Linked DNA regions of Stegostoma tigrinum. The protein of the gene in region 2 purifies or fractionates together with the protein of the main gene of each other region. This does not show direct contact. Links are inferred from orthologs where the notes say so. Each region holds a gene or a part of one and is shown on either strand. Other genes may lie near its edges.

Evidence for each region.
Region 1: the proteins of leucine zipper putative tumor suppressor 3 (region 2) and dyrk1aa purify together in Homo sapiens (affinity purification with mass spectrometry; 3 studies listed by BioGRID and IntAct, with this or other methods). This does not show direct contact. The link is inferred for Stegostoma tigrinum from reciprocal best matches to the Homo sapiens genes LZTS3 and DYRK1A.

The regions. Positions count from the first base shown.
Region 1 is NC_081365.1:17,522,358-17,530,220, reverse strand, and holds the start of dyrk1aa (dual specificity tyrosine-phosphorylation-regulated kinase 1A), read right to left. Parts: upstream 3,011-7,863; 5' UTR 2,616-3,010; intron 2,423-2,615; exon of another isoform or gene 2,247-2,422; intron 1-2,246. UniProt on the Homo sapiens protein: Dual-specificity kinase which possesses both serine/threonine and tyrosine kinase activities. Exhibits a substrate preference for proline at position P+1 and arginine at position P-3.
Region 2 is NC_081354.1:169,586,182-169,593,998, reverse strand, and holds the start of leucine zipper putative tumor suppressor 3, read right to left. Parts: upstream 3,016-7,817; 5' UTR 2,893-3,015; intron 1-2,892. UniProt on the Homo sapiens protein: May be involved in promoting the maturation of dendritic spines, probably via regulating SIPA1L1 levels at the postsynaptic density of synapses.

The DNA.
Region 1 (7,863 bases), on a different chromosome or scaffold from region 2:
GTGTAACAACAGCCTTCCAGAATGCAGCGGCAGAAATGGGTATTTCGTGCTGAGATGAAAGGGTACAGTGTTAGAACTGGGTGTTTAGAGCAAGGATAAGGGACAAGTACCCAATCTGGTTGTTGGGCTCAGGAGAATCAAGCTCATGGAGGGACTTTATCAGAAAAAAAAGTTCCTTAAATTCAGATATAGATGAAAAGGGAGCAATGAAGGTCGGTAAGAAGACCAACAGGAAAGCAGAACCTGGAACACAGTTAACATATATGAACTTCACTTTCAGGAACACAAACTACCATATTTGTATAGTAAATATATCTCTCCTGCGGCTTTTAAAATCAGAATAAACTGATTAATTTATAAAAAATGAACTTTTACCAGCCTATGTTTTGAACTCTCTAAATCAAATTATACTGCAATCATATTCTTACGTCATACTTCCACAAAGTCAATGTCACACTGCTTTAAAACAGCAGTGTTGCAGAAAAATTTGGCAGCTAATTTACACAGCTAGATCCCTTAATTAGCAATGAAATGATGCACCATACCATTGTTTACAATACTGGTTGATGCATAATCGATGGTCAGGAGATCTGGCAAAGTGCCTAGTCTTCCTTGAAGTAGCATGGGATCTGTAACAATCATTTGAGAGAACAAACAGGGTCTTGACTTCTTGTCACATCCAAAACAGAGCAGGGCACAAGCACTAATCCAACAACCAAGATTACCTGCTTAGGTCTTTGGAATGGCGCTGAACACACACATCTATGATTTAGGTGAGTGTTATGCAATGACTAAATCTGGCACAATCACATGTATAAAATACAAGTCAGAAATCAAAATACCAAAGTACCTGAACAGCATACAGAGCCTGGAGCAGATTTTTACTGGACTTATTTGGATATTAGTTGGAAAGCTCAAAGAATTCAATCAACAATACACTTCTTTTTCCTATATAGATCTTGTCACAAAAACTGAACTTTTGCCCCAGTATTTCAACTCTACAGGCTTTAAAATACCACATGACTAAACAACTAAATTCCAATCAGACCAACTGATATTTTATGGTGAAGTCAAAGTATCAGTTTGGTACAGAATATTTTTCTGAAGTCTAAGTATTGAAAACAAAGCGATGTCAAAGATATTTTTGGAAGGATCCCTTTACTGAGATCAACAGAAACTCGTTGAAGATCCAGGCCTAAATCTGCATTGGATGATAAAAAGTTTAACCCCAAAACGTAATTAGGGGCAACTGACATTTCATTTATTGAGGATGACACTGGCAATACAATCTAAATAAAACTCTTTTTACTTGACCAAAATAACATACAACTTAGTCTACATTGTGTTCTCAAAATATTCATCAAGCCACTCACATAATTGTCATTAATTTGTTCACCGATGTTCTGGACTGCTGTTAGATGTACCAGTTTAGTAACACACTGCAAATTAGTGCAATGCCACAATTTGATATGTTTAACATTGGGCATTGGACTGGACACCTGCACATTTCAGGTTAAAGTTTTGTTTTATTCGGCACAAAATTTAACAACTGCAGTTTTTAGAATTAAAAATCTCGCGCTTTGCGGCTAGAAAAGCAGTTCAAGAAGAATGGTACTACTCAGATCTGAAAGTTTAATGTCTATCCACTCTTTGCATAGAAAGAACATTTTTAAATAAATAACGTTTTTTCAGAATATTTGCTGTGTTTGGCTTTGCATTGCATGTGTTACAGTCCAACATGTTTTGTTGGCAGGCACCATCCGAATCACAATGTTGCAAAAGAACAATCTTCTTTTACTTGTATGTGACAAAAGCAAAGGAAAATAAAAGGAAACCACACTGTCTAACTAAAGACTGGGTATCAATGCTGACATGAATTGTGCATCATGTACTGGCTAAACAAACGCTACATGCCTTAACAAAATTTCTCCAGATCACTGAAATAGCACAACTGTCATACACAGATGAAAATGACATGCTTAACGTTTCTAATTCCTGCTAAATTGCTGTGCCCTGTGGCTGACACTCGGATATGCAACATATACTTTAACACGTTCAGCGCAGTAACACTGTCAAAAAGAGTCCATCTTCCTCTCTCAGCTCCTTATGTTAATAACACTGTTTTAAGAAGAGACCGCCAACCAAATTATAACAACGTCTTAAATAAGTGTCAGGCCGCTGGGGGGGGGGGGGGTGAGAACATAGAATTAAGTGGCTGATGAATTAGAACGAAAGTCAAGACAAACCTCTCCCCGATTTCTCTTCTATCTCTCTCCCTCCCTCTGTCACCCAGGCCGCTCTCGTTGCTGAGAAGCCGCTGCCGCCGCTTGGGTTTACTGTCCCCTCCTTTCTGGGCGAGGGGCGGTGTTACGGGGAAGGGAGGGGAGAGGAATGAAGGAGATGGTGTGAAAGAAAATAATAAATAAATCTCAAGTGTGAGAATTCAGAATCGCCTCAACCCCCGCCTCCCCCGAGCTGCCTGCTGTCCCCTCGATGTGAGTGACTCTTCAGGATCAAACTGTGCCTGTGACCAGCCCCCTCCCCACCTTTCCTCCTCTCACTCGGTCTTTTCCCCCTCTCTTTTTTTATTTCACAAAATGGCGCGCACTACAAACCTGCGCAACAGCAAACACCTCCTCGGCGCCGCCTTTTTTCAAACCCGCTTTACACCTCCTTGCGCCGCTCGCCAGACCGACTTCTCCGGCCGCACCGACCATTCAACTTTCTCCTCCCGCTCTCCGAATCTCCCGATCTCGCCTTCGAGGGAGGAGGGAAAAAAAATCAGAACGGAGGAGGAGGAGGTTAGGGAAGGTGGTGGTAAGGAGGGAGTGGGTGAGTGAGGGATAAAGAGGGGCTAAGGTGAGAAAGGTAGAGTTGAGAGACAAAAAAAAATACCCCCTCCCCGCGGATAAAAAAAAATTTCCGAGGCGGGAAAGCCCTGAAAAAATTTTTTTCTCTCTCTTCTCTCTCCTCTTAACAACAAAATGGCGGCGGACGGAGCGCGTTGCTATGGGGACTGTCAATCACAGCGGGTGCCCCGGATGAGCCCTTGACGTCAGCAAGGGGAAAGGCGGGGCCAGGCGCCGTTGAGGATGTTGCCAGCCGCAATCCCCCGGATGCTGCACCGATTAATGGGGCCGAGCCTGTTGCGAAGGGAAACCGTCAATCACGCCCATCTCCTCCCTTCATCTAAACCCGAGGCCCAAATAACCGAGAACCGCAGAAACTCTTGTTGCCAAGCGAGTGGTCGCCATCTAGAACCTGATGGGGTTCCCTGTGTGTGTACTTTTCTTTGTAACACGCTTGCTGTATATGCAAGTATTACACAATTGAGGTTTCTTTCGTATCTTGTTCTGATTTTCTCGAGACGTCTTTTTGTTGTGTTGCTCCCTTTAACAGAATCATAGTCCTTAGATTAGATAGATTTTTTTTGCGAGAGTTGCCAAACTTTTCATCAAGGATCCAGACTCTCCTTCTTCCTCTCCTCGCCCATAAGAACCCAAAACACAACTCGAAACCTCCCTTCATTGCGTCCCTGAACACTGACCTATATTGCTCACTGATTATTTTGAGATTGGAGGGAGAAAAGGCTGTGCGTGTGTCTCTGTGATGTTTTATTTATGTTTCTTTTTGAATTGCGGATACCTGTTTCATTCGCACACCTTCCAAACAGCAGTAGAAGGCAAAAAGAGTTGTTTCGAATGAAGATGACCCACAAACACACTAAAGTACACAGACGCTGTGACAGAATGGGCTTGCCCCCTATTGAGCCCGTTTGCAGAGCCGCACGGTTACATAAACGATAGAGAAAAGCCCACAACTGAACTTGAACGCTCAAATAAATGTCACTGGAGGAGCAAAAATTTACTTGATATCCCCCGACCGCTGCAATCAAAACCGGAAAAGCCGCAGCGAATAATGGTTTAGGACATGCATTGACATTTGCGGCTAAAAGTATCTTCTCATTGACTTTTTTTTATTCTGGCCAGAAGGGTGATACGGTGCTTTGATTCTTCTAACAGCACTTGCAGCGACGAAAGAACGGTTTTACAGACATCGTGTGACAAGCGGCTCTTCGCTTCATTTCTCATCAACTAGCGTGGCATACAGTTTTAACGAGTTACATTCTGGCACATACTCTGTTGGTCTGGGATTGGTGGGGCGACGGTCTCAGGCGATAGTGAGTGGAAATGTAGCCTCGTATTTTTGAATGGTGACATTAATAAAACAACACGACTTCATGGTTAATTTATTTCGATTGCAATTTTGCATTTATACCCGTGGTTCTATTTATGGAACATCACTCCGTTAATATTTTTTGAGGAGACGAGAAAGGGTGTGTGAAGTAGATCGCCTCTTGATCAAAAGCGCACAGTGCGGTACCGAGTGAATGACGCATACCTGAATCGTCCCAGGTCAATGCCCATTTTCTGTTAGCTAGCCCCAGTTTGGGCAGCGATAAAAATCATCCTAATAATCCTCAATATCCCTTTCCCTACCTGAGTATGCCAGAGTTAGCAGGCATACTTACAGGCAAATAGATTACTGATACTTGCCACCCATGCTGTCATATTGACTTGAACGCTGGAAATTAATGTCGAAATGCCCCTTCCAGAAAGTCGACATGTCACAAGCAGGTATCATTTATCTTTGAGCTTCAGTGTAGCTTTGTATATATACTGAGACAACAAATTAATTGACATTTAGCAGGAGAATGAGTCTTGCTTCTCTCCACCTACATACAGTCACGACAGCGTGGAATCTGTCACATGAATGTTCTGAAGAGAATCTCAGGGGTATTCCTGTGAGTTAACCCCCCCCCCACAGGCCACTCGGGGGTGAGGCTGACTCGTCTTCCTAGCCTTGCGATGAACAGCTGAAGCACAGCGCTCCATTCGCAGCAAACTCGCGATTTTGACGCGGAGTGAATTCAAACAAAACTGAATTATGATCTGAATACATGCCGAAACGCGTGTCGACAGATCCAGTGTATTATCTGCGATGCCCAGACTACGTTTTATAAAAAAAATCTTTCAGTCACTTGGTATGCCAGTAAACCAGTGGAATGTCTTGCAGCTGAGATTAAAAAGAACAAGCTGTTCCTTCCCGTGGCCATTGATCCAACTCAGCTCCGAACAGACATTACATGTATTTCGCAAATTCCCAGAAGTACCTCGGATCGACCAGTTGAAGATGTGTGCAAAGCGTTCCTTTACAGCTTGTTAAAGCCTTCTTGCAAGTCGCAGATCACCTCATCTGGTTTAATGTTGTTCTCAGGTTAGATCTCTTAAGGATGCAGCTGTGTTTTTTACAAATAATTTAGCCAGTAATACTGTTTGCAGGGGGCTGTCGCCAAAATGGCATCTATTTTAGCCTTGCTAATTCTGAAATAAGATGCATTGCAGCAACTCAACACAGCTCCTTACATATCACCTCCCAAACTCACAATCTTTGGTCTTAATTGAAACTCACCACCAGTCACCTTAAGAAAGACAAGGGCAGCAGATGTTTGGGAAAGTCACCAACTGCATGTTCCTCTTCAAGCCACATACAGTCCTGCAGTGGAAGAAAATTGCTGTTCCTTCAGTGTCTCTGTTTATAATCCTGGAACTCACTCCCTAACAGGACAATGGTGTTCCTATACCCAAAGGACTTCAGCAAACCAGCATACAGCAAAGCACATATTCTCAAGGGCAATCAGAGATTGGCAATAAGTGCTGGTCCAACCAGTGAAGTCCACATCCCAAGAGCTAATGCTTTTTTTTAAAAGAAAACTTCCCCAGTCTATCTATTTTGATCCCTAAACAGCCTTTATGTGGCACTGAACACAGCCTCTGTAATGTGTGGCATTACCACCATGAATGAAGTAGATTTAAACCAGACCAAACCAAACTCAAAGCAAAGGATTCCTGGAGCACTGTGGGCCACCAGCAGCAGAAGAATTGTGTTCAACCACAGCCTCTAACACCATGGGCCAGCATACTACCCACTCTCACACAGAATAGAATGAGAATCTGTATAGAGTGGGGGCAAGCCATTTGGCCCACTGAGTCCACATTGACCCACCAAAGGGCATCCCACCCAAACACACACTTATCCCCATAACCCCACATTTCCAGCTAGCTTGCACATCCCTGGACACGATGGGCAATTTAGCATGACAAATCCACTTAACCTGCACATCTTTGGACAGTAGGATAAAACTGGAGTGCCCAGAGGAGACCCATGCAGACAAAGGGAGAATGCGAAACTCCACATAGACAGTTGCCTAAGGCTGAAGCTGAACCCGGATTCCTGCTGCTGTAAGGCAGCAGCACTAGCCATCGTGCTGCCCCTATTATCATTACCATTAAGCTGGGGAATCACCTCTAGTTTAATGACAATTTTAAGAGAACATGTGAGGAGCAGCACCATTAACACCTAAAGTAAGATATCAGTCTGGTGAAGCTACAATATAGGATGTCATCATTATTAAGTAGGAGATCTAAGTGATGCCATCATGATAAATCAGATCAAAATATTTATGTCTTGCAATATCCAGTTACAATTAATGGTGGATTGTTAATAGGATGAGGAGATACCATGAGCATCTCCATTCTTGTTAATGATGGAGTACAGGACATGAATCTGAGAGATAAGGCTGAGAATTTTACCACCATCTTCAACCAAAAGTAACGAATGGGTGAACCAGTGTTCTCTCTGCTTGGTATCCCCGACATCATAGAAACCAGTCTTGATCAATTTACTCTACTCCCCATAATATCAAGAAACAATCCATTGTTTGTATTCTATAAGGGCTATGGAACTAACAATGTCTTGTGCTCCAGCACTGGCATTTATATAATGAAGTGGAAAGTTGCCAAGGTACATTCTTTTCACTAAAAAGCAAGACACCTACAACCCAGCATACCATCCTGTTGTCCTCCACCTGATCATCAGCAAGGTGATGAAAGGGGATGATACTCACCAGTGACCTGTTTACTGTTACTGAGGAGTTGGCCAGAATCACTCAGCTCCAGACATCAGCATATCCTTGGTTGGATAATCAACAAATGGACTGAATTGTGGAAGTGAAATGTAAGTAGCTGCCTTTGACAACACAAGGCAGTATTTGACTAAGTGGGGCCTCAAGTAGGAAGTTAAATCAATGGGAATAGGGAGGAAAACTCCACGCTGGTGGGATCACATCTCACACATAAGGTTATTTTGATTATCCTTGGTCAGATCTAATAGGTATTTTCTAATCAATCTGTTCATAAATGTTATTAAACACCTCTGGAGTAGGTAGGACTTTAACCCATTCTCTTGCCTTTGAAGTAGGGACACCATCACTACACCATAAGAGCTCCAATTTTCTCATGTCCTAAGTTTAACCATCTTCAGCCGATTCATCTTGAGATTCCTTCCAAAATAAAGCCAAAACTGGATATATTCACTGATGATTGCAATTCAATTAAGCAGTCGCTGTTTGCATGCAAACTGACTTGACACATAATTCTGGCTTGAGTTTATAAATGACAAATAATATTAATGCCAGACAAATGGCAGAAAATGACTATCTCCTCCTAATATTCAATTACATTATCATAAGTAAATTCTCAAGTCTCAAAATCCTGGGTGTCACCATTGATCAGAAAACTTAACAGACTAGACACACAAATGCTGAGACGACAGCAGCTGTTCAGAGGCTAGTAATTCTGTCGTGAGAAACACACTGCCTGACTCACCAAACCTCTCCACCACCTACAAGGTGCAAGTCAAGAGTGTTACGGAATATTTGCCACAGAGCCAGATAACTGGAGTGTTAATTGTATCAATACAGTTAAACATATATAGATGGGGTGGCTTTAATTGATTTAATTG
Region 2 (7,817 bases):
TCCAGTCTGGCAGTTAGACACACCACTGTTCTGCCATTCTGACATTCCAATTACTTAATCTGAACTATCAACATCTTTTCTCCCCCAGCACTCTCCACCCTACCACCCCAACACCCTTCCCCCCACCCAACTTTAGCATAAATGCTGACCCCTCCACACTTCACTTCACCTCTGAAGAAGAATCAGAGTGATTCAGAATGAAAGCAGGTCCTTTGGCCCAAACTGGACCAGCTTTCCCTGGATCCCATGCGATCTAACACTCATGGCTAGTTTGCTGAGTGGGACCTTGTAAAGGCCTTACTAATTTCCATACAGACCACATCCACTGCCTCATCCTCATCCATCTCTTGCATACCTCTTGGAAAAACTCAAAGATTTGACAGACAAGATTCCGGAGAATACATCCATGCGGATTATCCCAAATCAGAAACTGACTATCCAAATGTTGGTTGATCCTGTCCCTCAGTATCCTCTGCTATACCCTGCCTACCACTGATGTCACACTCACTGGCCCTTAGTTCCCTGACTTGTCTTTGCTACTTTTCTTTGACAAAAGAACAACATTAGCCACCCTCTAGTCAGAGATATACAGCACAGAAACAGACCCTCCAGTCCAACTCATCCATGCTGACTAGTTATCCTATATAAACCTAGTTCCATTTACCAGCATTTTCCCTCGAAACCCTTCCTATTCATTTACCCATCCAGATGCCTCGGCAGCTCATTACATACACGCGCCACCCTCCGTGAGAAAAAGTAGCTCCTTAGGTCCCTTTTATGTCTTTCCCCTCTCACCTTAAACCAATGCTCTCTAGTTTTGGACTCCCCCAACCTGGGGAAAAGACCTTGCCTGTTCCCCCGATCCATGCTCCTCATGATTGTATAAGCCTCCATAAGGTCATACCTCAGCCTCTGACACTCCAGGGAACATAGCCCCAGACTATTCAGCATCTCCCTCTAGCTCAAACCCTCCAACCATGGCAACATCCTCATAAATCTTCTCTGAACACATTCTAATTCACAATATCCTTCCTTTGGGAGGGAGACCAGAACAGCATGCAATACTCCAAATGTGAACTAACCAATGTCCTGTACAGCTGTGACATGGCCTCCCAATTCCCCTGCTCAATGCACTGATCAATAAGGGCAAACATACCAAACACCTTCTTCACTCCACCTTCAAACAGGTCATACCTACTACTCGTGTCCACGCATCACCACCATTCTGTTTCCACTCCTCCACACCCCTCCCCTAAACCCATATCCAGTCCTCAAGAGGGGTAATAACCAAAACGCTAGCAGCTCCTTTCCTCCAGATGCTGCCTGGCTGACTGTGTTCTTCCAGCCTCCTGTTTGTCTCCCTTCTTCACTGCCCTAACTACCTGAAAATTCACCTTCAAGGAATATGAAACTACACTCCAAGATCTCTTTACTCAGCAACACTCCCCACACCTGGAGTTGAAATGTTAGCTTGCTTGGTCTTCATGGATGTTGTCGATTCAGTGTGATTTCCAGCATTTGGTGTTTTCTGTCTAAGCTGTTGCTCAAGAAGTCTCCAGACGAGACTGACGTGCTCAACTCTTTAGGACTGAACCTTGTACATTTTTTTGTCTTGCAGCAGTAGAGTCCCTACTCCTCAGCTATAAGGTTTGTTTTCAAGAATCACTTGTCATAACATGTCTTAAAAGGTTGATCAAAATAACTAGGTGTAGTGAGTCACATGGAGCAGGTCTTCATGTCTGATCCCACCATTAGCCCATTTTTCACTGAGGCCCCTCCCGATAGTATTCCATCCTTGGCAACTTTCTGAAGCAGAGCAGCCCGTTCTTGGCGAATTGGGCAATGTGTTACTACTCCCAGAGCATCCCACAGTCCATTAATTAACTAAATTTCCCTTTTGAAAATAAATCTTGCCCTACATTTCTTGTAAACGATTGTGCACGGTCTGCTCACTTTTACTCTCGGATTTCATAGCCGCCTGACTCAGGTCACTTCAAAGCAGCAGCCCCTCCCAACAAAAAAAAATCAATATTTCAGGCACATAAAAACCGGCAAGGAAACGAGTAAAAAGCGGTCATAGTCTCAACTTTACTCTTTCATCAAAGAGACAGTTTAATTTCCTCAGCTTAATCCCCGGAAAGGAGGATTTTATGGTGGGGTGGGGGAAGACAGAGGGGCGATCGTTGTTACCTGACGTGACCTCTTTTATAAATATATAAACCACTGGAGGAGGTGCTGTAGCATCAGTTCAAAACAATGACAATTGCTGCAACAACAGAACAATATTCAGGAACAATTGCTATGGAAAAAAAATGGACAAACTCGAGGGGTTTTTTTTTCTTTTAAAGCCAGCGGTGCTAATGGTGCAGTGCAGCCAACCCTTCTCCGCTTTCCAGAAATGGCAATGAAGAAGTTGAGAGTGTCCTTTAAGTCACATCACGTACACAAGCCGCTTACATCACCGAGGCAACTGGCCAAAAACTTAACCTCACATACATGTGACAGCCCCAGTGGAATAAACCATGCATTACCTGCTGCATCCAACCTATGCGTTTCCTTGTCCCCATCAGAGCTGTGGCATCCTTTTTCTTGTACGAAATGCACACATCGTGCAGGGAAAAATGTACGCGCAACTTACAACCCCTGCAAACCGATCCGATTCCCTACCTCAATAACTGTGCATATATTTCACACCTCTTCAGACCTTCCACCTATCACAGCTTTGCAGCCGTTTCCGAATCGGAGTTTCGCCGCTCAACTTGGGAACAACTTAAATCTCCTGCAAAGCTGTCACACATTGGAGCAGATGTTCCCAAGACACGGTCTTTTTGTTGGGGGGGGGGGCGAAGAAGGGAAGGTTGGGGTTATTATTAGAAGGACCAGACCACTCACCGTTCATTGTGCTGACAGTAGCTGAGGGCTCGGCCGGGGGAAGGAGAGGAGAGCACCAGGGGGTTTATTACAGATCTCACCGCGCTGGGTTTGTTCGGGAAAGGATTAGAAGCAGCCGCCTCCTCTCACTTCGTCGCTGCTGCTGCTGCTCGGGGTACAGCCTCCTGGCAGCACGCAGCCTATCAGCGACAGCTCGCCGTTCACCGGCAGAGCACCTCCTCCTGCTCAGTGTTCACCCCTCCTGCAAACTGCGAAAGACAGCTCCATCGTTTACATATGTTCCTCCAGAAACCCACTTTCACGAAGTGCACATTGATTTTAATTCCGGCAATGGCACTGGACGAACCTGAACAAGGGTCCCGAAACGTTAATCTTGCTTTCTGTCCACAGTTGCTGCCAGACCTGCAGAGATCTTCCAGCAGTTTCTGCAGCCCACCTCTCACTGTGGTCGGTGTTCTCACTGACTCCCTAACCCCAAAGCATCTCAATTCCATGAACTCGTTCTCCTTTGTAGGTAATAGTCTTCTATGGCATGTATGTCCTTTCTTAGATAAGCGATCAAAAGTATACACAATACTTAACGCAAGATCTCACCAAGGTTCCGTACAACTGTAGCAAGACGTGTGTCGTTCTGCACTTAATTCCCCTTTCAATGAAGTTCAACATACTATGTGCTTTTCTAATTGCTTGTTTCGGCCACATGCTAACTTTTAGAGATTCAGGAATGAGATCACCTGCACTTCTCAGCCTCTCACCATTCAACAAGTGTCTATTTTCTTTCCCAATGTGAATAACTTCACATGATATTTTCTTTGCCATGTTGTAGCTTAATGATTTAGCACGCAAGTCTTCCTGAAGCCTTGCTACAATGTTACTCACAACTTACATGCCACAGCCCATAACTACATCACATGTGGATGTTTTAAATTCAGTCAGTTCAAACACGTTATGTCACATCTCTGGAGCAGGTGAGAATTGAAGCCAGGCCTCCTGGCTCAGAAGTAGGGGCACGACCACTGTGTTATAAGAGCTGTACATATTGTACTCAAAGCGTGCATTAGTGCACCTGACTTGGCATCAAATTGTGGTGGATATCTTAACCTGTTCGACATGTTATGACATACCTGTGGAGCAAGTGGAATTTGAACTAGGTCTTCTTCCTTAGAGGTTGGTAGGGATACTATGGACTGCTTCACTGAGGCTCCGAACATTTATAACCTCCATCCGCGAGATTCAAACTGACTTGCAGGGACCCAATGGATTTCAAATCCATCATCTTAACTACTCGACCATGACTGGCTATGGCTATAGGTTGCTTAATTTGCAGAACCAAACTCAGCTCCAATTGCTTGATGTTAGAAATTACCCAATTTTTTTTTAATTAACCTGTTCAGAAATGTTATTCCACATCTGAAGCAGGTGGGGCTTGAACCCAGGTTCCTCGATCCAAGGATAGCGACACTACCAGTACGCAACAAGAGGGCCTCAAATGCACCCAGTTTTGTGGAATTAGTATAATTAAAAATATTACAATGTCCCCAAAATCTAAATCAGTTCTATAGATTTTGAATTCTGTGGACCTAGCACGAATCATTGTGGCACCCATGAGTAACAGCCCGCCTTTCTGACAATGATCCATTTATTCCTACTCTCTGCTTTGTTTTTTGATTTTGTTTTATAGTGCAAATTGCTTGTGAAACTTCTCAGAATGGTTTATTACATTAAAAAATGCACTATTTACATGTGTTGTTACCATAGCTATGATTCATAACGTTTGGACAATATTTCTCCGAGGTAATGTTGTAATAATAGACCAATTTTCAGTTACAGCTCATCGCACTCACTTCTCATTCATTTTCAAAAACACTTCATATGGCAGTCTTGATTACACTTTTTAATCATGAAGGAAGTGATTTTCTCCCTATGTTAATGGACACAAATCTGAAATATGGTTATATACTCATTTATAATTTCATTACAGACAACAAAAAAAATTATGGTCATAATTACTACCTACAATTTACAGACTGGAATAGAGAGATGAGCCATAAAATGCAGTGGGATGGAAATCCTGCTCACTCACCTAGGCCAGGCTTTAGCCCTCTCCTTTTGTTTTCTTTATTCATTCATGGGATGTGGATGTCACTGGCTAGGCCAGCATTTACTGCCCATCTCTAATTGCCAAGAGGGCAGTTAAGAATCAACCACATTGCTGTGGATCTGGAGTCACATGTAGGCCAGACCAGGTAAGGATGGCAGTTTCCTTCACTGAAGAATATTACTGAACCAGATGGATTTTTCCAACACTCATAGAACATAAAACAATACAGCACAGAACATGCCCTTTGGCCCTCAAAGTTGTGCTGACCTGTGAATTAATCTAAGCCCTCCCCCTATACTAACCCATCATCATCCATCTGCTTATCCAAGGACTGTTTAAATGCCCCTAATGTGGCTGAGTTAACTACATTGGCAGGCAGGATGTTAAACGCCTTTAACACTCTCTGAGTAAAGAACCTGCCTCTGACATCTGTCTTAAATCTATCACCCCTCAATTTGGAGCTATTCCCCCTCATACAAGCTGACATCATCATCCTCAGAAAAAGACTCTCACTGTCCACCCTACCTAATCCTCTGATTATCTTGTATGTCCCTATTAAATTCCCTCTTAGCCTTCTTCTCTTCAATGAGAACAGACCCAAGTCCCTCCACCTTTCTTCATAGGCCTTCGCTCCAGACCAGGCAACATCCTGGTAAATCTTCTCTGCACCTTTCCACTGCTTCCACATCCTTCCTGTAATGGGGCAACCAGAACTGCACGCAATATTCCAAGTGAGGCCAAGTGAGGGGTACTAATTTCCTGGGTGGGAAATTTGCTAGTGCTATTCGGGTGGACTTAATGCTCAGCAGGGGGGTGGGAAACTGTGGTGTAGTTCCAGTACACAGGAAGATGAGCGTAGGGAGGATATGGACTGGACCTCTCTGACGCAGGAGTGTGCTGGCAGACAGCAAGCCGGTTTGAAGTGTGTCTACTTCAATGCCAGGAGTATCCGGAATAAGGTAGGTGAGCTTGCAGCTTGGATAGATACCTGGGACTTCGATGTTGTGGCCATTTCAGAGACATGGAAAGAGCAGGGTCAGGAATGGATATTGCAGGTTCCAGGGTTTAGATCTTTCATTAAGATCAGGGAAGGTGGTAAAAGAGGGGGAGGTGTGGCTTTGTTAGTCAAGGACAGTATAACGGTGGCTGAAAGAACTTTTGATGAAGACTCATCTACTGAGGTGGTATGGGCTGAGGTCAGAAACAGGAGAGGAGAGGCCACACAGCTGGGAGTTTTTTATAGGCCTCCGCAAAGTTCCAAGGATGTGGAGGAGAGGATCGGCAAAACGATTCTGGGCAGGAGTGAAAGGAACTGGGCGGTTATTATGGGAGACTTTAACTTCCCTAACATTGACTGGAATTGCTATAACTCTAGTACGTCAGATGGATCAGATTTTGTCCAATGTGTGCAGGACGGTTTCCTGACTCAGTATGTCGAAGGGCCGACAAGAGGGGAGGCTACGCTGGATCTGGTACTTGGTAACGAACCAGGCCAGGTGTTTGATTTAGTGGTAGGTGAGCACTTTGGAGAGAGTGACCATAATTTTGTTACGTTTAGTTTAGCGAAGGAAAGGGATAGGAACATGCCACAGGGCAAGAGTTATAGATGGGCGAAGAGCAATTATAATGCGATTAGACAAGACATAGGAGGCATAGAATGGGGTAGCAAAATGCAGGGGATGGGGACAATCGAAATGTGGAGCTGGTTTAAAGGAAAGATATTGCGTGTCCTTGATAGGTATGTCCCTGTCAGGCAGGGAGGAAGTGATAAGGTAAGGGAACCGTGGTTTACTAAAGAAATTGTATCTCTTGTTAAGCGGAAGAGGGAGGCTTATGTGACAATGAGACGAGATGGTTCAGATGAGGCGATGGAGAGTTACAGATTAGCTCGGAAGGATTTAAAGAGAGAGTTAAGAAGAGCAAGGAGGGGACATGAGCAGACATTAGCAGGCAGAATAAAGGAGAACCCTAAAGCTTTCTATAGGTATGTGAGGAATAAGAGGATGACTAGGGTAGGAATAGGGCCAGTCAAAGACAGAAGTGGGAAGTTGTGTGTGGACCCTGTAGAGAGCGGAGAGGTGCTAAACAAATATTTCTCATCTGTTTTCACTCAGGAAAAGGAGAGTATTGTAGAGGAGAAGACTGAGTTACGGGCTACTAGAATTGAAAGGATTAAGGTTAGTAAGGAGGAGGTGTTATCAATTCTAGAAGGTGTGAAGGTAGATAAATCCCCTGGGCCGGATAGGATTTTTCCGAGGATTGTCTGGGAAGCTAGGGAGGATGTGGCGGAGCCTTTGACCTTGATCTTTGAGTCCTCATTGTCTACAGGCTTAGTACCAGAGGACTGGAGGATTGCAAATGTTGTGCCCTTGTTCAAGAAGGGCAGTAGAGATGACCCAGGTAATTATAGACCTGTGAGCCTTATGTCTGTTGTAGGAAAAGTTTTGGAAAGGATTATAAGAGATAGGATTTACAATGGATTCAATCGACAATGGATTCACAGTCATCATTACATTCTTAATTCCAGATATTTATTGAATTCAAATTCCACCATCTGCTGTGGCAGGATTTGAACCCGGGTCTGCAGAACATTGCCTGGGTTTCTGGATTAACCATCCAGGATAACACCACTCGGCCATCATCTCCTCTAAAGACTGATACAGGATCTGTATTAGATAGGCACCACTGGTGCATCCACTGCATGAGTCTAGTTGGAGCTCAGTGGGTGGGAGTGAATGGTCTGATCTTGGTAAATGCAGGCCAATTTGTTGTTCCTCAGAGGAATTGTTAAAGCAGAGTGTTGATACACCAATGATAATTGACT